Linked DNA regions of Schizosaccharomyces pombe. The protein of the gene in region 2 interacts with the protein of the main gene of each other region in a pairwise test. Each region holds a gene or a part of one and is shown on either strand. Other genes may lie near its edges.

Evidence for each region. Proteins that work in one complex are often made in the same cells at the same time.
Region 1: the proteins of rpn501 (region 2) and rpn9 interact in a two-hybrid assay, tested with the Schizosaccharomyces pombe proteins (one study listed by BioGRID).
Region 3: the proteins of rpn501 (region 2) and rpt1 interact in a two-hybrid assay, tested with the Schizosaccharomyces pombe proteins (one study listed by BioGRID).

The regions. Positions count from the first base shown.
Region 1 is NC_003424.3:2,039,784-2,047,637, reverse strand, and holds rpn9 (19S proteasome regulatory subunit Rpn9), read right to left. Parts: upstream 3,831-7,854; 5' UTR 3,797-3,830; coding exon 3,684-3,796; exon of another isoform or gene 3,630-3,683; coding exon 2,597-3,629; 3' UTR 2,479-2,596; downstream 1-2,478. Other genes in the region: SPOM_SPAC607.06C (metallopeptidase), read left to right, coding at 494-544, 603-2,354, 2,393-2,428; arg82 (inositol polyphosphate kinase), read right to left, coding at 4,342-5,148; U3 snoRNP-associated protein Snu13, read left to right, coding at 6,175-6,192, 6,343-6,702; SPOM_SPAC607.02C (uncharacterized protein), read left to right, coding at 7,234-7,289, 7,338-7,706, 7,753-7,854. UniProt on the Schizosaccharomyces pombe protein: Acts as a regulatory subunit of the 26S proteasome which is involved in the ATP-dependent degradation of ubiquitinated proteins.
Region 2 is NC_003424.3:1,261,810-1,269,835, reverse strand, and holds rpn501 (19S proteasome regulatory subunit Rpn501), read right to left. Parts: upstream 3,568-8,026; coding exon 3,484-3,567; intron 3,437-3,483; coding exon 2,189-3,436; 3' UTR 2,056-2,188; downstream 1-2,055. Other genes in the region: rsm22-cox11 tandem protein cox1101, read left to right, coding at 1-1,931; chaperonin-containing T-complex epsilon subunit Cct5, read left to right, coding at 4,294-5,934; protein Mks1, read left to right, coding at 7,076-7,181, 7,227-8,026. UniProt on the Schizosaccharomyces pombe protein: Acts as a regulatory subunit of the 26S proteasome which is involved in the ATP-dependent degradation of ubiquitinated proteins. Required for proper proteasome assembly.
Region 3 is NC_003423.3:4,339,145-4,347,501, forward strand, and holds rpt1 (proteasome regulatory subunit Rpt1), read right to left. Parts: upstream 4,237-8,357; 5' UTR 4,225-4,236; coding exon 4,111-4,224; intron 4,055-4,110; coding exon 3,973-4,054; intron 3,778-3,972; coding exon 2,657-3,777; 3' UTR 2,479-2,656; downstream 1-2,478. Other genes in the region: vacuolar protein sorting receptor vps10, read left to right, coding at 1-2,308; qcr6 (ubiquinol-cytochrome-c reductase complex subunit 8), read right to left, coding at 5,413-5,591, 5,639-5,827, 5,884-5,955, 6,082-6,286; ER membrane O-mannosyltransferase Ogm4, read left to right, coding at 7,508-8,357. UniProt on the Schizosaccharomyces pombe protein: The 26S proteasome is involved in the ATP-dependent degradation of ubiquitinated proteins. The regulatory (or ATPase) complex confers ATP dependency and substrate specificity to the 26S complex.

The DNA.
Region 1 (7,854 bases), 780 kb from region 2:
CATATTTGATACTAAGGACGTGCTTTGATCCTGAAAGTATCGCTTTTACTCTGCTAGATTTTTCTGTAAATCTTGAGCCATAACATACACAATCATCGTTTAATAAGTTTTGCACTCCTCTTTTTCTAAATATTTATTTACAATCATTAAAATAAATAATCCATTAATTCATTGTACTTATATAAGTCTTCAATAGTTAATTTGGACGTCTACTGTCTCCGTAAAGCATACAAAAGTTTATTATTCAGCTAGAATTTTAAATAATTATTGGTCTCTCAGTATACCCACTGCCAAAGACTCAATCAACCGATGCTGTAATTTTATTGTTCAAAAAACGCGATTATATTATGTTTTGTATTTTATATGATGTCGTGTATATTAAATTTATAAATTTGAATAAATATGTAAATAATTTATATGTTTTGTGACATTAGTCTAAGTCAATTCGAAATAAATATAGAATGTACTGCACACGCGTTTGTCAAGAGCCAGCATGAGTCAGATCATTTTAGACAATATATCCCAAAACGAAACTGTATACAATGTACGAGTGTTTTCAATGTTATTTTCATAATTGTACTAATATAGATGCCTAATTTTAGAGATTTGTTATTATACATGGTAGAGTTGGACCTCGTGCAAGTTATTGCCCACAAACAATCAATGTGAAGCATCACGAAAATTCATTTCCAGAACAAACATGGGTAGTTACAGACTTATATTTTAAAGCTATCATTCACGTCGTTCCCGGAGACAATACCATACTATTTACTACGGACGATGGAGGTAAACTAGAATTGCAGGTTTATTACCAATTACTTGTTGATAATCCTTTCTATTGTATCGCCTTTATAGTTGGAAAAGACTCAGACCTTTCATTTGATGCACCTCACGGTGCCAAAAATGATATTGATGAGGGCATCCGTAAACTCAGATGCGCTGCTTACTTATGGCAAGCTTTCACCGCTGAATGTATGTATAGAAATGGTTATGGAAGACGTTCTTTTAGAATTGAGGAAAGTGTGCAACCCGACACAATGTCTTGTTTGTCCCCTTGGGGCACCGAAAGGTTAACAGCCACTATAAATATTCTGCGAAGTGATAAAACAGCAGAAGAGATTCGATCGGTTCCTCCAGATCAATTGTTTCATATAGCTGGAGATGCTGTCGACAAACTACATCTTCCTGAGCCTTGGCATTATATGTGCATGTTCTTGGATACACGATATGATCCTTCTACTCAAAAAATTCGTGGACATGTAGCTTTAGGTGGAGGTACAGACATGCACAAACTTGGAGTGTTTGGTTCCCATTCGTTACATTCTTTTCCTAGTGCACTTGAGTATGTTGTACCTGTCTTTAGTGATGCCCGTAGAATCCCTTCTTACTTGGCAAATGATGCAAATGAAAGTTCTACGATTTGGGAATGTGCGAATATAGGGATAGGCGCTATGCTTCATGAGTTAGGACATACACTTGGTTGTCCTCATCAACCAGATGGAATCATGTTGCGATCATATCCAATATTTAACCGCAGTTTTACGACAAGAGAATTTGAATGTGTTAGAACTGGAAGTAAAGGTCTTGCCCCAGTGCTTGCAAAAGATGAATGTTCTTGGCACCATCTTGACATGTTAAGGTTTTTTTATCATCCGTGCTTTAAACTACCTTCAGACCCTACATATCCGTCGGACATTGAAACGAACTACTTTGTTAAAGGAGAAACTATCACATTTGTCAATTCGACTGGAATCTTTTTAATTGAAATTGAATACAATGGACAGACCAAGGGCTGGAAGGAGTTTAATCCTCCAGTCGGAGAAGCTTCTTTAACTGATGCTGAAATACGCTCTCTTTCAAATGCAAGCTCCAATCAAGATTATCGTGTTCGCGTTCTATCCAGAAATTTCAAATGTATTGATTTAAACAATGTACCTGAAATTATAAAAAATGCGAAGGTTGAATCGTCTTTTGGAACTGTTTATCGATCTGAAAGATATGGTTTGCGAGGTTGTAATGGGAAAGAGTTATCAAATATTTTAATAGCACCTGAAAAGTTTAAGCCTACTAAAATTCGTGTTCATTGTGGTTTAGCTTTGGATGGAATTGAAGTATTTTTTGGTGATGAATCAGTTCTTCTTGGTAACCGTGGTGGAAGCCCTCACGATTTTGAAATACAAGGCTCCCAAATTGTAGGCTTTCAAATACGTTGTGGAGCCTGGGTGGATGGGATATCCATTGTTTTAGAAAATGGTAAAACAAGTCCATTTTATGGAAATGCTAACGGGGGTGGGTTGAAAAGCTATTTAGTCCCAAAAGGTTTTCAATTAGTCGGGTTTTATGGCACATTAGGGGTAAGTTTTTTTTTATATTATTGATCTAACATTAATAGCCATTCATGGATTCAATTGGGTTTTTTATTAAGTAGCTTGAATTCTGAATACTAATTGAATACAATTGCTTAAGGAGAATGAAATTACGTACCATGTTTACAACTAATAAAATTACTACACTGAAATGTATAATAATGTATAGAAAAATAGTTCTATTTACTTTATAGCATGTCTTGTCTTTTAAACAATGAGTTTTGTAGTCATCAAACGAAAACACCTTTTCCAGAAATTTCAACCACATTAGAAAGGTTCTTAATATTTTGGTTCCATTCTCGTAGACGAGATTCCATGCTTGCAATTTGCGAGTGATTTAAAATTCTAGATTGGACGGAAGAAATGGTGACAATTTGGGTAACCTCATCTATAACACCTGTTATAAGCCCTACGCTTAAAGCACGCATAATGAGTAACTCAACTTCATTAGAAGGAATACGGGTTGCACGAGCAATTGTATCAAATGTTAAAGTACGCTGATTTGGAGGTAATTGGAAGACCAACTCAATGAGGGCCATTAAACGAATTTTTTGACCTAGTAAAGCAACCGAACTTTGCAGTAAAGGCATTTTGTTAATTTGCCCCATTAAGCGTTCAAACAAAGGTAAATCTCCGACATTCATGGCGATGACTAAATCATGTAACCACTCGTGCTGTGTACCTACTAGCAACTCGAAAACAGGATGTAATAATAATTCACCAAAATTATAAATATCACCGAGTATTGCGGCAACACTTAGATCCACCGCTCTTTCAACTAACTCGGTATGAGAGCATTTATCGAGGTCGATGCAAGATAAATACAATAGACAATGACGATAGTATTGAGCATAATCAGCCTTTGCCTTGTAGTAGTCTGCACTGACGCTATAATATGAAGAATGAATAAGACTTTCTACGTAATCAATGTGGTCGATAATTTTTGAGGCTTTGACAAGTAGTTCCCGGGCTTCATCCAACTTACCACTAATCAGCTTGATGCGAGCAATGGCAACAATGGAATATACATAGGCATCTTTATATTTCTCTTCATCCAATTCGTTAACAATTTGGTTTAAATTACGAAGGGCTTCGTCGTTAGAACATGACTCAAAAGCCTTTAAGCCCATGTACACTGCTTTGAGTTGATTGATATTAGGTCGAAATGAGTTGACAAAGTTCGTATACAAAGGAAGCCTTAAAGGTACTGTTTCTGGGGTATCAAAGAAAACAATCAAAGCATCTGTAAGTTGTTTCCATAATCTGGCGTCAGTTAATGTAAAGTTCATTTTCTTCTAAAGCACTTTTACAACATACTTCCTTTCATAAAGGTCTTCCATTAAAATATAGGATTGCTGAAGGCTTTCTGGAGCTCTTGTAGCTTGATCGTGTAAAAAATCAGACATATTGACAGACATTTCGGTATCCATGATGAAATCCTTCGTGGAGTAGTTGTTTGCTGATGGCAAGTGCTCAAGTCATATTACTACTGTTTGAAACTTTAGGTAAATGGAGAAATATAAGCATATTTATTTTATTTTCATTATGTTAGTTAAAATTATTATTAAAAAAAAAGTTAAAGCGTATTTGAAAGCATATAAGTAAAGCATGCTTTAGTAACCTCTATGAAAACAACGCAAGGTATAAAGCAAACTTCTATAAGTAAACGAACTATTTTATTAAGAGAAAACTGACTGTTTTTTAAGTAGTTCGTTTGTGGAATAAGATCTTTATCTTACCAAAAATAAAAAGGGTAGATAACCTTTCTGAAAATTTTCATAAAATAAACGAAGAATAAAAATTATTTTCTTTTCTATAACAAATCAATACTTCACGATCACTCAAAAAAATAAATAAGGTATCATTTTTATAATAGTTATAGTGGAATACTATACAGATAAATTAATTAGCTTTAACCAGCAATGATTAAAAAAATTACTTTTCTTTTAAAGGAATTTATCATGTCAGTATTCAATTATTCATTCTTCAGGAGCATCGCAAAACAGTGAATTAAGTTTTTAACCCCAATTAATGTGTTATGGTCTATAGTGTTTTTCGTCCATCTAGAATGTGCCAAATCTATCAGCTTGAGAACTACATTGCTTTCACAATGATACGTTGGATTTAGGGAAGAGTAATCATAAACGAAAAGAATACTAGAAGATTTTAATTCAATATAAGACTCAGAAAGATCAACTTCAAATAATTTCAATAAATTAAGGAAGCTTTCAACCAACCTTGCTTTTTGAGAAAGAGAGCAAGAGACAAAAAAATCATTTAAGCCTTCTACGACATCTGAATCCGTAAGGGTTTTACCCCAAGCTGTTGATCGTTTAATGTACGTATTGTTTGTTCTGTCCCACGACAATATACCAGTTATACGAAATCCAAGACTACCACTCGTCGTACTTCTGGAAACGGCATCTAATCTTTTTCGTTTTTCAAGAGGAGCGTCATCGGCCCACAACTGTTTTCCTAATTTGATATCCATGACACAAGGAGTTTCCATCTGATACAGAATATTTTCTAAGATTATAGCTTTTCCAGTTAAGGAAAAAGCAACACTTTCTGCGATCGGGTTGATACCCTCAATGTCTCTACTAGAAGGCATCCACTCACCGAAATTCTTAGGAATCCAGTTGTAGAGCGTAATATTGTCGTTACATGTTTTATAAAAATCAACTTCACTTTTAATGCATGGCTTAATTAGAATTTTATCATCCTCACTGACTAGTACTTGGCCATGACCAGCAGCTTGAAATGGAAACAGTTTTAGTTTCATCAAGAGTTAAAGAAAAAATCCGCTAGTACATGTTTTTTCGTCAAAAGTATATTTCTTGAAAATTGCAATACGCGTTTAGCAATATGCTGAAGCGTTATTTTCGATGTGACAGCTGTTGGGTAAGCGGAATGTAGAATGAATTGAAATAGTGTAGAGCTATATCAACCACTTCCACTGCTTGCACGAACATGCAGGTTATATGAGCTGAATAAATAAGTGTAAAATTTTATCTAATAATATAAAACAATGAATTTCCTAAACACATATCCAAATGTGTATGTACTCGCTGTTAATTTATTCAGCTTTTTTTACAGTAGATAAAGTTGTAGCCTGGAGATCGAAGTATGAATTTAACAGAAAGTATAAACTTTTTTGGATATTATTTAGAAAGTGTTTTGCAAAGTTTTTATAAATTATAATATTATTAAAAACCTATATTCCAAACCACTAAGGGAAAATATTTTAGCTAAATTACAATTTACACACTTTCAATAGTATGTACCAGGGCTTTTTTTTTTTTTTTTTTTTTTTTTTTTTTTTTAGGACAAATTATATGTACTTTGCTAAAATTTAAAAGTTAAATAGTAGATTATTAGCAACTTCTTTTTTGCTAAGTCCATAGACTATATAACAATACAGCTCTCAATCAGATATGCAGTTCCAACTTTTTTTAATGTTATTATATTCTGTTAAATATGGTAAACAATGTCCAATTGAAGAATGCCTGCTCAATAGAAATAAACTCACCAATCTGATTTATAGTTTTGAGTCCTCCATATTCATAGTGTAATGCCAAGAAACAATTAAGATTATTAATGTGCATAAATTTCTTAGAATTCCAAATTTAAGCAAATTTGGATTAATTTTCCAAGTTACATTGATCGAAGGATCGACTAACGTTGATGTTGTTACTTGTACTTTTGGACTACAGCTAAAGTGAAGTTTACTAAAGAAAATTTCTTAGCAAGGGCGAGCAACCACCATTGTAGGTCAGATACTACTTTTTACAGCAAGGAACCCGAAAAAATGTCAGTTAACCCAAAGGTATGTTAATAATGGTATAAGACTTCTTCTTTGGCTACGAAATAGCTGAAAGCATGCTAGTTTCAAATGCTAGTTTCGTCGGCAATTTTATTACGGAAAATGAACTTTTCCGAAATTTATATTCGTTTTATTGCATACTAACATTGTTAGGCCTTTCCTTTAGCCGATTCTGGCTTAACCCAACAAATTCTCGACTTGGTACAACAGGCCTCTCATTACAAGCAGCTTCGCAAAGGTGCAAATGAGGCTACCAAAACCTTGAACCGTGGTATTAGTGAATTTATAGTAATGGCGGCTGATACCGAGCCCATAGAGATTTTATTGCATCTGCCATTGCTTTGTGAGGACAAGAATGTGCCTTATGTTTTTGTTCCTAGCAAGGCTGCTTTGGGACGTGCTTGTGGTGTAAGTAGACCGGTGATTTCAGCCAGCATTACTACCAATGAGGCTAGTGATTTACTTCCTCAAATTCAAGCTATTAAATTGGCAATAGAGAAATTGCTCATCTAAACTTTTGGATTTTGGGAACAGTTTTCTTTTAATCGAGAATAAAATTTGATTCTTATGGAAGCAGATTGTTATCGAATTTTTTATTTTGTTATTGTAATTTTGTACTGTTTCGCTTTCTATATAATTTCAAGTACTCTGTTTGTAGTCATTTTAATTTTTATTAATTAGCTCGCAAAATACTCAACAAGAAAGATAGTTGAGTGTTTACATATAAGAGCATTACGATTTTAATAAAGATAGTGTATATTTGGTGTTTGATATATATATTTTTTAATATATTTTTCGTGTATGATTCGAAAAGTATCTTCACTAAGCTTGCTTCCAACTTGATTCTGAAATTTTTTCTCTCTAAAGCGTTACAGCTTGTCCACTAAAATAAAAAAAGATATTTGTATTCATTAATAAACTTTACTGTTATCCCATGAGTATCTATTAAAACAAATCCAAATTTATCTAAATTGCGATACGAGCTAGGCTCGCTATTTTCCTTTATTACTTGCTTCTCGTTTGTGTTTACTATCCAAGCGCAATATGCCTACTAAGACTAAGAAAAGGTCCGTTCTTGAGGCTGAACGGAAAAAGATTGGGTAAAAAATTTCTATAGCAAGATGTTTTTACTAACATTTGGTTAATAGACTCGATCATGCTCCCAAGGAGGATGAAAGTGTAGATGACAACTTCCCAAAGCAATTCAAGCGATTGCTACAGCAAAAAGAGTACCATGAATCTAAAAAGAAGGAAATAAAGAAAGGCAACCTTAAAAATAAGAAAAAAAAAGATTATGGGAAAATTCAAAGATTACCCGGTGAACGCCTTAGTGAATTTAGTCAGCGCGTAAATAAGGCTATTCCAGTATCTTTTAAGTCTGGGCCGAGCAAAATAGACGAATTTACTGATAAAAAAGAAAAGAAAAAAATAGCGAAAAGAAAAGAGAAGCGTGAAAGAGACTGGAATGAAATTGAGGAAAATTTTGAAGATAAAACATGGGAGGCGGATACTACTGGGTATGTGTATATCACCAATTTCATTTCGTATAAACTAACATATTAGACAATTTATCCAAATTGAGTCTAGAAAAAAACGAAAAAATTCGCCTGATCCGTGGGCTAATTTACAAACAAAACCTTCCTTTGGAGAAACTGTGCAAGCTCC
Region 2 (8,026 bases):
ATATTAAAAAAGATTTGGCTACGGAATCTCAGCTTCCATTGTCTGCGCCATTCAAAGATGAATCTACTCGGACTATGACAGATCCCCAAGTTTTAGCTTATATTCATCAGTCTATGCCGTATCAATATGCTTCTCTATACAGCGTATTGACTGACTTGAAAATTGTAAACAGTGATGTGTCTTGCAAGTCTCAACATATACTGGATTGCGGTAAAGGTCCAGGTATTGGTGCTCTAGCTAGTTATTCAGTCTTTCCCACACCTAATTCAGTTTCAATTGTTGAGGAGAACCCATTTTTGAAAAAAATCATATATGATATTCACCATAACATTTACCCGTCAACTTCGCCGAATCCAACTAGCCCTGTTACGCTTAACCGTCTACCATTGGGTAAAAAGGATTCATACACTCTAGTTATTGCATCTAACAAGCTTCTTGAAATGAAATCGGAGAAAGAACTCTTTGATTATCTTCGTTCGCTTTGGAGTCTCGTGTCAAATGATGGTGGTCTTTTGGTGCTCTGCGAGCGAGGCACAAAGCGTGGCTTTAGTTTGATTCAAAGAGCTAGAACATTTCTATTGCAAAAAAGTAAAAATACTTCTGATAAACAATTCAATGCCCATATTGTAGCACCCTGTCCCCACGATGGTCGCTGCCCCATTGATATAGAAAATGGGGTAAGAGCAAATATTTGTTCTTTCAAACAACATTTTTTCCTATCCCCATTTTCCCGTCTATATGTCCCTCGTTCTCATCGTCGATCCTCGGATCGCTCTCATTACAGTTATGTTGTTATTCAAAAGGGTATAACTAGACCGCTTAATAATACCACACAAAGGTTCAAGAATGATGAGGATTTACTAGAAAATGTGAATGTTACATCTCCAACTCTTAAAAACTGGCCACGTATAATTCGACCTCCACTGAAGCGAGATGGACATGTCATAATTGATGTCTGTGATAGCGATGCTCGGCTTAGAAGGAATATTGTTCCTAAATCACAAGGTAAACTAGCTTATCGATTAGCTAGGAAAAGTGCTTGGGGCGACTTGTTTCCGTTAGAGGGCAAAGTTCAAAGTACTTCTCCAAGTAGTAAAATTACTAAACATTTAAAAGATGCTTCTTCTACCTATTCAATCAATCCCCCCTCATATAATAAACCCAAAGTTGAAAGAAATACAACTGCAGATCCTATTTTTGTCGGAAAACGATTCTATTCGACTAATCGTCATAAAGCTTTTTCTCGATTTGCAGACTTTAATTCACATCGTTTCCCTTGTATTTTTACTTCATTTAGCTGTTACAATTGCATCTCTGGTACCAGGAAATATTCACGACAATATTCGAGAGATAAATTCCACTATAATCAAAGGACCACTATCTATTATCTGGTTGCAATTTCCATTTTTGCGTTGGGCTTGACATATGCGGCTGTACCTTTATATCGTCTTTTCTGTTCGAAAACAGGTTATGGTGGCACTCTTAATACCGACCAAAGTCGTATGAATGCAGAAAGAATGGTTCCTCGTAAAGACAATAAAAGAATCAGAGTTACTTTCAATGGCGACGTTGCAGGAAACCTTAGCTGGAAGCTTTGGCCCCAGCAGCGTGAAATATATGTTCTTCCAGGCGAGACTGCTCTAGGGTTTTATACTGCTGAAAATACGTCCGACCATGACATAGTAGGAGTTGCAACTTATAATATAGTACCAGGTCAAGCCGCTGTTTACTTCTCAAAGGTTGCATGCTTTTGCTTTGAAGAGCAAAAGCTAGATGCTCATGAAAAAGTAGACTTGCCTGTGTTTTTCTTTATAGATCCAGAATTTGCTGATGATCCAAATATGAAGGATATTGACGATATTCTTCTAAGCTATACTTTTTTTGAGGCCAGATATGATACCAATGGCAATCTTTTAACTAAACTCAACTGAAATAAAAATTAAGGGACTACATATTGAGTGAACTACAATAATTTATTTAAAATAATTCATCAAGTTAACCTTCTAGTTACGAGACAAATAACAACGAAAATCACTACAAACTTACTAGAATAACTTTCTCCGAGGTTGCAATTCGACATTAAAACTATTGTATTCTCGTAAAAAAAGTTGAAGGCCTTTGAACCAATAGTATATTATTTAAATGACAAAGTCATGAAAGTAACGAAATGAAATAGAGACGGAACAATTTATTTGGCTACCGCCTGTTGAATAGAATTCATCATTTCTTCTTTTATAATAAGCTGTCTTACCTTTTCCAATTTTCCAAGAAGTTCAGTAATATTGGAACCCCACTCATTCAATTGCTCTTGCACATTTTGAGATTTCTTGAATGAAATGACTTGAGCTGGGCGATCAATCTTGGCATAGAAATGATGCTTTGCAATAAGATCGCAAAGAAATTGTTCTGTTTCGGAAGGACTCATATCCAACAACACTCCTAGACGACTGCAATGAATGCGGGAATAATAGTTTGCGACTACACGAATATTGTGTTCGATGACTCGCTTACGAAGTTCAGACCAACGTTTCTCACCTTTTTCATCATTTTCAGCAAAAACAGGATTACTCCTTAAAGCACTTCCATAGATTTCGGCAATTTTGGGCCATCTCATTAGTTCATTGACAATAAAGCACTTAACCAATTGTTGGAGTAAAGGAAGAGAATTTAGTTTATGGTCAGCATTAATTCGGTGAAGAAGATCTGCCTGCTCGTTATCATAAGGAGTAAGCAAGGCAAAGCAAACGACATTTTCTAATATTTCTTTCCATTTCTCGGGGTCCTCTTGAACCACGGCGGTGTCATAAACTGCTCGATAATATTTACAAACATCAAGATATGCATCGTCGTGCAAACCAATTCGGATTTTTTGCTCATAATACTTAAGTTTTAAAGACTGGACGTCTTCCTTTTCAAAAAACTTAACATTTATTTTCTTCGTGTAAGTAGATGCCATGTAGTAATCAGACCTCAGTAAGAATAATCTAACTTGATCCAAAATGAATGCAACTTTTTCCTTCAAATCAAAAGATCCGTAAGTCTCTACTGGTTCATTACACAAGATCTCCTGGGCAGATTTGATGTCACCTTGCTCTTCTTTAATCTGGGAAAGCAGTTGTGTAAGACGTGCCCTTTCTACTTCCACATATATCTTTCCATCAGTAATAGTACGCAATGTTTCAATCAAATTAATTTTTGTTTTTAAATCGTCAATTCCAGGAAGATAGGTCATTACATGTTGGACTAAACTTGTCATCGATTGTTTCAGTTGGCCATGCTTTTTAAAGAGACTAACCAACTGTTCGTTTAAGCCTTGGAAATCACCAGCTCGAAAGAGCAAATCAGCAATGTATATTAATACTTTCGTATTCGTGCTGGTGTCAGAAGCCTGACGAACTTGCTTCTCAAAAATCAAAAGCTTCTCGAGGTTCGCATCCTACAATTACAAGTTAGAGATTAGTCAAAATTTTGATTTTTACGTACGATGTCTATGGTATTAAGGTTATTTAAACTTTTTTGTAACTCTGCAAACTTCTCTGAGTAATCAACTTCCGGTTTCTGTTCCATTTCGATATGTGGGTTGTTGGAGAGTGTACAATTGAGACTAATATTGCGAGTTGATTTCTTATGATTACAGAGTTGTAACGCACGCTCGCAAAATACTTTAGTTGTCAGCAATAGTACACTACGCTATGATACACTACGTTGCGTATCACTATATGTCATATGTTGGAATACTAGCTAAGATCCGTTTATTGATAATCACGGGTAACTATCCGTCTATATACATAGATACCCGTTGATAACAACTATTTAGAAATATTATAAATAGCGTTACAACTGAACCTCGTTCCTCAGTTCAGTTATGAGCTATATTAGTGATAGGTAACATTATAACTCAGTTAATACAATACCTATACTCAGTTGCTACTTATACAACCTGTGTATTGTAATATAATAGACCACAAGGAAAACTCACCGCAGTTCTACGTATCCTTAAATCAGATACCAAACTGCGTAGCTTACATTAGTGAAATATAGTGCTTATTTCTTCTATAGAAGTTCGTAAAATGCTGAAGGGCCGCAACATATTAGACGTGCTTTCAACGACATTCTAAAGAATACACCCTAAGCTTGAACCTCAAGTTATTTCAACGATTTAAAGGGAAGTAAGAGATAAGGTTCTTTGTGAAATCGTTCAAAAGTATTTCAAGGATTTGGGTTAGTGTAGCGTTCAGTTTTATCACTTGAAATTCATTTGCATCGACAGTTCACAATAACAAGATGAGCAAAATGGCCGGTCTAGATAACGCTGTTATGGTCCGTGACGATCAAGGAAATCCTTTCATTTTAGTACGTGACCAGGAAAAGAAGAGAAGATTGCATGGAATTGATGCTGTAAAAAGTCACATATTAGCTACCAAAACAGTTGCTAATATTGTGCGTACTTCTTTGGGTCCCCGTGGACTGGATAAAATTTTAATCTCTCCAGATGGAGAGATTACGGTTACCAATGACGGTGCTACAATCCTCGACCAAATGGAGGTTGAACATCAAATTGCAAAGCTGTTAGTTCAGTTGTCTAAATCTCAAGATGATGAAATTGGGGATGGAACTACTGGTGTTGTTGTACTAGCAGGTGCATTACTGGAGCAGGCCGAGGCACTTATAGACAAAGGTATACATCCTATAAGGATTGCAGATGGTTACGAAAAGGCATGCCAGGTGGCTGTTAAACATTTAGATGCTATTTCAGATGTTGTCGACTTTAGTCCCGAAAACACTACTAATTTATTTCGTTCTGCTAAGACTAGTTTGGGTAGTAAAGTGGTTTCCAAAGCTCATGATCACTTTGCAAACATTGCTGTGGACGCGGTCCTTTCTGTTGCTGATTTGCAGAGAAAAGATGTTGATTTTGAACTCATTAAAGTAGATGGCAAGGTTGGTGGTTCAGTGGATGATACAAAGCTTGTAAAGGGTGTTGTGGTGGACAAAGACATGTCGCATCCACAAATGCCTCATCGTATTGAAAATGCAAAGATTGCTATTTTAACCTGCCCTTTTGAACCACCAAAGCCAAAAACTAAGCATAAGTTGGACATAACATCAGTGAGTGAATTTGAAGCCCTTCAAGCTTATGAGAAGGAAAAATTTCAGGAAATGATTAAGCATGTAAAGGACGCAGGAGCTAACCTTGTTATATGTCAATGGGGTTTTGATGATGAAGCAAACCATCTACTTCTTCAAAATAATTTACCGGCTGTACGTTGGGTGGGAGGTCCCGAAATCGAATTGATTGCTATTGCTACAAATGGACGAATTGTGCCCCGATTTGAGGATCTTTCGTCTGATAAGCTTGGTTCAGCCGGTATAGTGAGAGAGGTGTCGTTTGGTACGACTCGTGATAAGATTTTAGTTATAGAAAAGTGTGCCAACTCTCGAGCCGTAACCGTTTTTGTACGAGGAAGCAATAAGATGATTGTCGATGAGGCGAAACGTGCTTTGCATGATGCACTCTGTGTCGTTCGTAATCTGATACGTGACAACAGAGTAGTGTATGGTGGTGGTGCTGCTGAGATTTCTTGCTCTTTGGCTGTCACCAAAGAAGCTGAAAAGATTCCTGGTATTGATCAATATTCCATGGGTGCATTTGCAGATGCTTTGGACACGATTCCTCTTGCCCTCGCGGAGAACAGTGGCCTTTCGTCCATCGAAGCTCTTACAGCAGTTAAAGCTCGTCATGTAAAAGAAAACAAGGCATATCTTGGTATTGACTGTTTGCAGACCGGAAGTAATGATATGAGAAAGCAGTTTGTTATTGATCCTCTTATTGGAAAGAAACAACAACTGCTTCTTGCTACTCAGCTTTGCAGAATGGTACTCAAAGTTAACGATATTATCGTTGCCGGTTCTAAGGATGATGACTATAACTAAATGGCATTTTCATCCGCACGGCTAAAGGAAATTTAATTTACTTCATTTCATACGGCAAGCATGTGCTTTTTTGAATAAAATGGTGATTCTGTGTACTTATGTCAAAATAAAAAATTTCTTGCATATATATAAATTTTTTCTACTAAGCATCATATTGAGTCCGTATTTCCAGTTTCAATAGTATTTTTACCTACTCAGAGATTGTGAGCTTTTCAAAGCCTTCAGACACTCTAACCTTGTTTATGGCATTATTTTTATACTAAACTCTGTTTATGATTTGTTCCATAAAGCTGTACAAATAGACCAAATACATCAGCGCTCAAGACGGAAATCGTCGGCTACTTTTTCCGCAAAAACGCTTCTGGTAGCACCTGTAAAGCCGAGTTTGGGCAAAATGATATCAGTTTTCTTAATTGAGCCATGCGAGGATATTTTCCTAACATTTCTCGCTAATCTAGACTGAGTCTTTTCGCACAGAAATCCATTAGTATTGGATTAATGTATTCATCAACCTTTGTTCCTTTGCTTTCCTTCATTGTAAATAAGGAGGTTTAGTGTAGTAGCTTGGACCAAATCCGACGCTTTTTAAGAGGGGTGAAGAAGCAAAGCAAACCAACCTCCACACAAAAGAAAAGAACATCAAAAGACTACGATTTGCTGATTTTCAGTAAAATCCTGTAATTAAACGGCAAATACTGCCTTTAAGTTCAGCGTGAAGTTGAAATTAAAGGAGCTTGAGCTTTATCGAAGTCACTGCCTTTTTTGGAAGAAGCTTCATTAAAAGTTTGCAATACGTTGAAATCTCTCTTTTGTATCCCGCCTCTTAGTTATCAATTGATATTATCTTAACTTTCTTTACTATTTCTTTTTTAGTTGATCTATTCTCATTTTTTAAATTCTCGTTTGTCCTCCTTTTGTTTAAAGCAACCGGTTGTTCCTTCTGTACTGAGTTTTAAATCTTTTTCCTGTCCTGTTTGATCGGATAAAAGCTCATTCCATCTTTTTGTTGAGCTTGCTGTAGAATCTCAACTATACCGATTGATTTTACTACTTTTTTAGAGCACATTTGCTTTTCTTCAAAAAAAAGTATCCTTCACTTTTTAAAGCAAATTTATTCATTCATTCAGTTGATCATAACATAATGGCAAAAAGAGTCGTCTCCCCAAACCCAATGCTCTCGTTGGAAACTGAAAATATCGCAAAAATGGGTACCTTAACTGCGGATAGCCTGGGATCTATGTGGAATGGTAATGTGGTTAACAGATGCTCTATATTAACTCTTTTTTTTCTAGTTTTTACCAAGTGTGCTGAGAACCTTGAAAACGGTCGTCGTTTAGAAAATATATCTTGGCGCCTGTGGTATCGTGAAGCTATGATGTCCGATGCTAATGATGCTTGTCAAATTGCTTGCCAGGAATCTTCCGTCCCTGATCTTTCTTCAAGTTGCGATTCCATTAATTCTACCGTTGAATCGGATGCGGGTCATGTTGTAGATTCAAACTCCTTTAACAGGATTGACAATGTTTCCGTTAATGCTCCTATTGTGAATGAAGTTAGCTTGCAAGCGCCAATGAAGGGTGGAAGTCATTCCTCTATTGTTAGGCCACAAGCCAAACGTTCCAGCTCACGTCTTTTGTCTACAGACGCATTTAGTCAGTTCATCTCTTCATTTTCACCGCCGGAAAAACCTAGTATGAAGGATTTGGCCCTGTTCCATGGAAATAAATCACCATCTTCTAAGGAAACTATACCTAAGGTTTCCAATTCAAACTCATCTGATACTTCGACTGATGATCAAGCTTATTTGAACGTTAGCGTTTCAGAAAACGAGCATGCTGATCGGTCGATTAAGACACATTCATCTGCACCTCCTTTGAATCAGCAAAAATCATCTACTAGTGTTAATGATGCAGTTTCCAAAGCCATACAACTAGTCAAGTCTACCAGCGATTTAGGTAGCCTAAGTACAAATACATCTTCAACTGCTCAGAAAAATAAATCAAGAAAACCCACTAAGTCTTTTAGTGATGCAGTCGCTGCTGCATCTCGGGCTAAAGAGCTCGAAAAAGAAAAATTATCAAAAGTCACTGTA
Region 3 (8,357 bases), on a different chromosome or scaffold from region 2:
TGAAATAACATCTTTTCTTTATGATTTCGATGAAAAAATTGTTGATGTAGTTTATCTCGAAGGTACGGTTCCTGAGGAAAACACATTTCTAATTGGTATATCTGTCAACTCTCATGTCTATTTCAGCGAAGATGAGGGTAAGACTTGGGACAAGTTTTCGAAGGAAGAATTTTCTAGCGTGCTTCCTCATGCTTACAATAAAAACTCGGTCTATATGGTTACGTCCAAAAATATTGTATATTTCACAACCAATCGAGGTAAAAACTTTTATAAATTTAAAGCTCCTTCACCTCCTAATCAAAATGGTAAATCATTATTTTCCTTCCACCCATCACGGCCTGCTTGGTTACTTTATGCTGGATCAGAAAATTGCGAAAAAAATCCCTTTGCTGACGACTGTAGAGACGTCGTATTCGTTTCGTTAGATTTTGGTGATACATGGTCGAGATTGCCATCAAACCTTGAGTACTGTTCTTGGGCCAAGGCAGAGAAATTAGTCGTCGATGATACTTTGATTTTTTGCATTAGACAAAACACAAATGATCCATTTAAAAAGGAGCTTATTTCTTCAATTGACTTTTTTGAGTATGAACAGGACGAAATTCTGAACGATGTCGTTGGATTTATGATTGAAGATGAATACGTGATTGTAGCAGTTCAAGACGAAGAGGGAACTTCTCTTTCACTAGATGTTTCGATCAATGGATTAAATTTTGCTTCCTGTAGTTTCCCTGCTTATTTAAATGTACATCCAAAGCAGGCTTATACTATATTGGATTCGCAAACACATTCTTTATTTATTCACGTAACAACTAACACGCACTTAGGATCTGAATGGGGCGACATTTTGAAATCAAACTCAAACGGCACTTATTTCATGACCTCATTGGCGAACGTGAATCGGGATTCTGTTGGATATGTTGATTTTGAACGTTTAGAAGGGATACAAGGTATAGCTTTGGCAAACATAGTCAGTAATACCAAAGAATTGACTGATGGCGGAACGAAGAAACTTCAAACATTGATAACTTTCAACGATGGGTTAGATTGGAGTTATTTGAACCTTGTTGGTGGGGAAAAAATTGTTCCTAAATGCGGCAAAAATTGCTATTTACATTTGCATGGCTATACAGAAAGAAACCAGTTCTCTGATCCCACTTCGACCAATGCTGCTGTTGGTTTAATCATTGGCGTCGGAAGCTTTTCTCCATTTCTCATCCCTTATGAAGAATCGCAAACATTTATTTCTAGAGACGCAGGTGTTACCTGGTATCGGATTTTTGACTCACCCCATCTATGGGCCTTTTTAGACAGCGGTTCCATTATTATTGCAGTTGAAAGCATATCCCCAACGAATGTGATTAAATATTCTGCAGATGAGGGGCGTACTTGGCAAGAATATCAATTCTCTGAAAAGAGCAAGGTAGTCGTTGATGTCAGTACGAAGCCCTCTGGTGTCGGACATCAGGTACTGCTACTGACGACTGATGATGAAAATGCACCTATTTCTTCTGTTCTAATTGATTTTGATGCTTTATATCGCCGTACCTGTGTTTTCGATGAGGAAAATTCTGAAGAAAGCGATTTTGTTAGATGGGTTCCGACGGATATAAGTGGTAAGCCACTCTGTTTACGCGGACGTATTTCATCTTTTTACAGAAAGAGCATACATAAAAAATGCAGGGTTGGATCTAGTTTATTGGTTAAAGAAGAAGTACTTTCTAAATGTGAGTGTACTCGTGCAGACTTTGAGTGTGATTATAATTATCGACGTCTCAAAGATGGCACTTGCGTACTTGTTAGCGGTTTACAGCCACCCGATACTCGTGAAGAACAATGTTCAGTAGATGATGCTTTTGAATGGAGACAGCCAACTGGTTATAAACGCACTCCTTTAACAGAATGTGAAGGTGGGGTACCTTTGGACGCTGGAACGCTTCATCCATGTCCCGGCAAAGAAGATGATTATTACAAAGCTCATCCAAAACCTGGAGGATGGAGTATCTTTTTGACTATTATATTCTCTATCCTGCTGGCTGCAGTGGCTGGTTGCATTCTTTATTATTATTCTCGTCGTTTCCTTAAAGGTGCTATAAGACTTGGTTCTGATTCAGCGACTGAAAATCCTTTGGAATCAGGCATATCGTACACAAGAGGAGCTTTTTCATCAATTCCAATATTCTTTTCCGCTCTTTACCAAAGCGTTCGGTCACTGTTTATAAGATCTACACCGACGAATGGTGAATTTGAAAATGCGGCATTCCTTCAAAATTATGAGATAGATGATGATGACGAAGAGTCAGTTTGATTTAACTTAACCTGGGCATGTTTGTCAATCATTCCACTCATCATGTAAAGCAGCTATGCCACGTTCTTATATTAATGATCAGTTGATATATATGGTAGTTTAATGTATAAATATATATATTTACATACATACACTCATGCACATACGTGTAGTATAATGAACGAAATTTTCTTTCATGCCAACGTTGCAACCTGTCATTTATTACATAAGATATCAAACAAAGCTTTCTAATACGTTTCTAGTTCGAACAGCTAAAGTGACCAGGCAACAAAATTTTGAAGTTTTTTAATTCATTTGCGGGATAAACCTATGAAATCTCATAAAGAATGGCGTAATAAAGGAAATTATCTAAGAGCTCATGTTCATATAATCAGCAGTACTGCTAAACTTTTGGTTACCTTTTACAACCTTTTGAACGGCGTCAAGGAAATCCTTTTCGGTAGCAACTCTTCTTCTAGCACGAATCGCAAACATTCCAGCCTCAGTGCATACAGAACGAAGCTCTGCACCAGTTTGTGAAGGGCATAACCGTGCAATTAATTCCCAACGAATATCCTTGTCAATCGCCATACTTTTAGCGTGGATGCGTAAAATATGAGCACGACCTTCTAAATCAGGTAAACCAAACTCAACTTTACGATCTATACGACCGGGACGCATCAAAGCTTCATCCAAGGTATTTGGTCTGTTGGTCGCAAACAGAACTTTAATGTTACCACGAGGGTCGAATCCATCCAACTGGGTAATTAATTCAAGCATTGTTCTTTGAACTTCATTATCACCACCTGCTCCATCATCAAAGCGAGCCCCGCCAATAGCGTCAATTTCGTCAAAAAAGATAATACATGCTTTTTTAGTTCGTGCCATTTCAAATAATTCTCTAACCATACGAGCACCTTCACCGACATATTTTTGAACCAACTCGGAACCGATTACACGAATAAAAGTTGCATCAGTCCGATTGGCAACAGCACGAGCACATAGTGTCTTACCAGTCCCTGGTGGTCCATAAAGCATAATACCCTTGGGAGGGTCAATACCAAGCTTAACAAATCTTTCGGGAGATAGTAAAGGAAGCTCGACGACTTCGCGAAGTCTTTCTATTTGTTCTTTACAACCACCCACATCTCCGTAAGTAACATCTGGCTTTTCTTCAACTTGCATCATAGTAACTGAAGGATCAATTTTGGGAGGAAGAGGAAGCTGAATAGCATATTTGTTACGATCACAACCGACACGCATCCCTTCTTCAATATCGGTGGGACTAACTCGTTCACCTAAACTGACAACAAATTTTGCAATCTGTTTCAAATTAATGACATATGCATTTTTCTCCGCAGATTGTTCATTCTCAATAATTTTGGTACATCTGGCAACCTGTAAAGGTTGTTCTTCACTCATCCTTTGGCGGTCCGCAGCAACGTCCCAAAATGAAATTGGTGCTAGACCAGTGTCAGACTCCTTAATTCCTAGGGCTAGTTAGCAATAGAACAACGGGTTAAGCAAATTTCATATAAAATGAGAGCATTTTACATGATAAAAAATTGTAAAAATACATCCTGTTCATGAATGTCATATCTTGTAGTTCATATCAGCTATATGAACTACAGGAACGCCATTCATCAGACAACATCGTGCAACTGCTTTCTCGACATAAAACATACCAACAGTATCATTAATTCTTTTTAACACAGCCTCTGTATCTTCTTTAATAGCTGCTAATTCTCTAGCATATGGGCCTGTAGCCTACATTGACATTTAGTATGCTGCTGGTGACAAATTCAATCATTAATGTAACTTACGTAGCTTTTTAAGAGCTCGATGTCTCCTTCGTCTAAAGGTGGTGGATTTTTATCATTTTCTTCTTCCGTATCAACTGGCTTTTGGTATTTCTCCCAATCTTCTTTAGGTGGCATTGTAGTTGGTTCAGTATAGGTACAGGTATATTCGACACATTATACTAACCTAGAGGCCACCCAAAGTCGCAATGTTACCTGATTTATAATTCTGCAAATATTGCTAAGAAATTTACTTGGTAAAAACCGATTTAAATTATAGCATTAGTAAGTGTGAATACTATTTCCCTCTATTTCCATTGAAAAATTTCCTAATCTTTTTTAGTATGAACTGAATAGGTGCCTTGTTTTTGTGGAAAATTGGAAAAGTGGTTAGGCAAATCGTACATTGATATTTACAAAACCAAATAAATTTATTAAAATATACAGATCGCTTGAGAGTAAATTTAAATCTATCAAATTGTTATTTTGTATTAGGCGCAATTATAAATTCTCGGATTATGACCGGGTTATAAATTGATTATTGCAACTGCAATACTCCCAATTAATATGATACTATGGGAGCAATTAAAAAAAAAAAAAAAATACATATATATATATATATATTTTTTTTTCTACATAAAGCAAAAAAGGGTGCAGAAAGTCACTCGAAACAAAAAAAGTTATTTCCTGAATTATTTTTTTTTGTATTTTCTTTCCTAATGCATTAGCCTTTGTAGTATATATGTTCAATTCTCTTTTATATAAAATATAATAAAAAAGGTGGAACAGGATTATTAAGCATGTAATGCTTTTCCTTCCTAAATACCCGCAACTCTTAAAGTGTTCAAGTCATTTCAACATTTCCTGGTCCCATAATAAAATTTCGTAATTTATTTCTGTATTGATACAACCCTACTACTAAATCAGTAAACCCGGTCCTTTCCTTTGAGCGTCCTAGGGACAAATCGGTAAGCAAAAACCTCTAAATAGTTTTCAAACTTTAGTAACTCACATAATACCCTCAAAGTAAGTGTACTAAGACTATTGGGATTACCGGTCATCATTTACTTATCTAATGTACGCTCTATAAACCGAAAAATTATTGGAATATAAAAATAGAATCGAAAGTTGAAAACTAAATTTACTACCTTAACGTAGGTCGATATCATCTACAAAACGTTAGGGAATCATCTTAATCCATTTTTTACATAAAAAAAGGAATGTTATTTTAGGAATAGATACCAACATTAAGGTAGTATTACGAATGCCTCCTAAAATTGAATCATATAATTCCATTCGTTCGACCTTACCAAGCGTTAAATGCATTTAAACCAAAACCTTAAAGACTTTAGGATCGGCACAATCACGAGCGCAATGGTAAAGATGAAAAAACTCTTCAATACAGTCTTCAGACTTGTCGCCCTGCTCTACCTTCTTTGTAACACGGGCAGTACATTCTTCAAAATGGTGTTTCACTTCCTTGCAATCTGGTGCATCCATGCATTCTAAAAAATGTTAGCAAGAAACAGTACACCCATTCAAATAAGCGAACCTTGAGTCATTTTTTCCAAAGGATCAGTAATTTCTTCTTCTTCTTCTTCTTCTTCTTCCTCTTCCCCTCCTTCTTGGGGTTCCTCAGCTTCTTCCTTTGGAGGTTCCTCAGGTTCCTTGGCCTCCTTTCCTTCCTTTTCTTCAGGTTGAGGGGGTTCAGTCTTTACTTCTTCAGGGGGTTGAATGGTTTCTGAACAATCCCATGATTAATACGAATTTTATCAAAATCAACGCTTCAATACTTACCCTTTTTCTCCTCTTTTTCATCGGCCCCTTTACCCTGTGCTCCTTTGGCATCATCTGCCGAGACAATAGGTTCTACCACATTATTAGCATCACTTCAATAACGCACTATAGAACGTCTACAAAAACGGTTCATAACAGATACTGTTATACCATACGAACATTGGCTTTCCAAAAAAAAACAGTAGCGTAATTACTTACCTTGAGTCTTGAGACTTAGGTTGGCATCTCTTGCCCCGGTAGAGTCGGTTGTCTTGGGAGATGGTTCATCGGGACTCTGGGTCTCAAAGTTCTTTTTTGAAGGAGTATTCTCTTCAAATTGCTTTCGATCTTCCTTAATCAATTCATCCGCTTCGGCAGAAATCGGGGTGAAAGCTGAAGTAAACAAATTTTTCCAAAACGACATTACGAATTCAAAATCTTTAATAAAGAGAAAGTCAGATAAATATTTTAATATTTAAAAAAGCCTCCTTACCGTACAATAACGCTGCTGCAAATGAGAGATGGGTTGTGAGTTGGTAATATGTAGTAGGTGGGTGACGAATAAACCGTTCGCTATATTGGTCCGCATTTGATGTTGATAATTCAACGCGATTAAACGCGTTTAACGCAAAGCTAAGGAAAATGTAAACACTTAGTAAATTTCACAATTTTAGATAAAATTTGTATTTAGAGTAATTTGAATCAACGTTGCAGGTTCAGAAGACTGAACAGTAAATCAAAATCGTTTTTGCTTGCTTCATTATAATTAGGATAACAAGCTAGTGTTGTATAAATGAAAATCAGGATACTTTGAAAGATTTATAATAATAACTCAAGATTTTGATTCAGCATACTTTCATGTGAATTTGAAGCCTTTGGATGTAACATTGACGATTGATGATAAATTTTTTTCGCTACAGGCACAATATTGACCGCTAAGAAAAAGTGAAAGCACATTTTAGGAGTTGTAGAAGAGCTTCAAAGGCATAATATTTTTGTTAGACAAGGAGTTAAAATGCTGTGTATAATCAATTGCTTCTTTCACAATCTATCGCACGAAAAAAAAAACGATATCACAAGTCGACTTTTGAACGATTTGGTTCATAAGCATTTCGTTTACGACTGAATTTTAATTTCTCAAAACCATTGTGCTTTCTATGCGCCTTTTTTATGAACAGATAAAGTATAATAGCTTTGCATAACAATCGAAAAATTCTTTAGCTAGTCAAAATGTTTAAGTCTTCAATAAATCACTTTAATATAAACTACTAACGAGAAGTTAGCTCGTTAACTACCTACTACGAAACGTGGAGAAATGATTGAATGTATTTAGGACATAATTTCTTCAAAGTTGGTTTTTACTGACGATGAAGCACAACTTTAAGTTAAACATTGAGTATTTTATTATAGGCCATCCATCGATCTTTTGACCTCTTTTTTAATTTTTGTATTGCAACTACTAATAACTATTATCCTATTTTTTATAACGATACGTTTTTAACTACGATAAATATAATGCAAAGAAGTAATAGAATATGTAGCAGTTCACTCAGATTCTCCCAAGCTTAACTCCAGGTTCGGTGGTCAGAAGGACTTGGTTTTAAAGTTGTACCCTTTACCAAAATTTCGGATTTTCATCTGAATTATGGCTTCCAAATCTGAAAAAGCTGTAAAGAAAGCCCAAAAATTGAGCAAAGAGCCATCTGTTGAATTAACTGACACGAAGTCTTCTGATAATGTTACTCCAAAACAGAAATCTCCAAATTCTACAGAAGAAGATGTAAGTTTGAATCTCAAGACGTTGAAAGCCAAAAAATTTAAGCTTGCTTTTGTTTTGATAACGGTACTTTCATTTATAACTCGCTTTTGGAACTTGAATCTTCCTGGTGAAGTTGTCTTCGACGAAGTACATTTTGGTAAATTTGCAAGCTACTATTTGCAAGGGAAATATTTTTTTGATCTCCATCCACCCTTCGCAAAGTTGCTTTTGGCTCTCGTAGCTAAGCTTGCGGGTTATGATGGCCATTATTTGTTTGATAATATAGGCGATAACTATAAAGATAACGGCGTCCCTTATGTTACGATTCGAGCTTGGCCTGCACTCCTTAGTTCCCTGGTTCCACCCGTAGTTTTTCTAATCATGAAAGAGTCAGGATACGATTTGTTAGCGTGTATCGTTTCATCATCCTTGGTCCTCTTCGATAATGCTCACGTTACTGAAGGAAGATTAATTTTACTTGATGCAACTTTACTTTTCTCTATGGTATGTGCCATATACTGTTACGTTCGTTTTTTTAAGCTACGCCATACCCCCTTTTCTCGACCATGGTGGGCCTGGCTTTTTTTTACTGGATTCTTCTTATCTTGTACAATTAGTACTAAGTATGTTGGTTTTTTTACATTTTTATCCATAGGACTGAGTGTCTGCTTAGAACTATGGTATCTTTGGGATATTAAAACCGGTCTTACTGTTGAGCGTTTTTTCCAGCACTTTT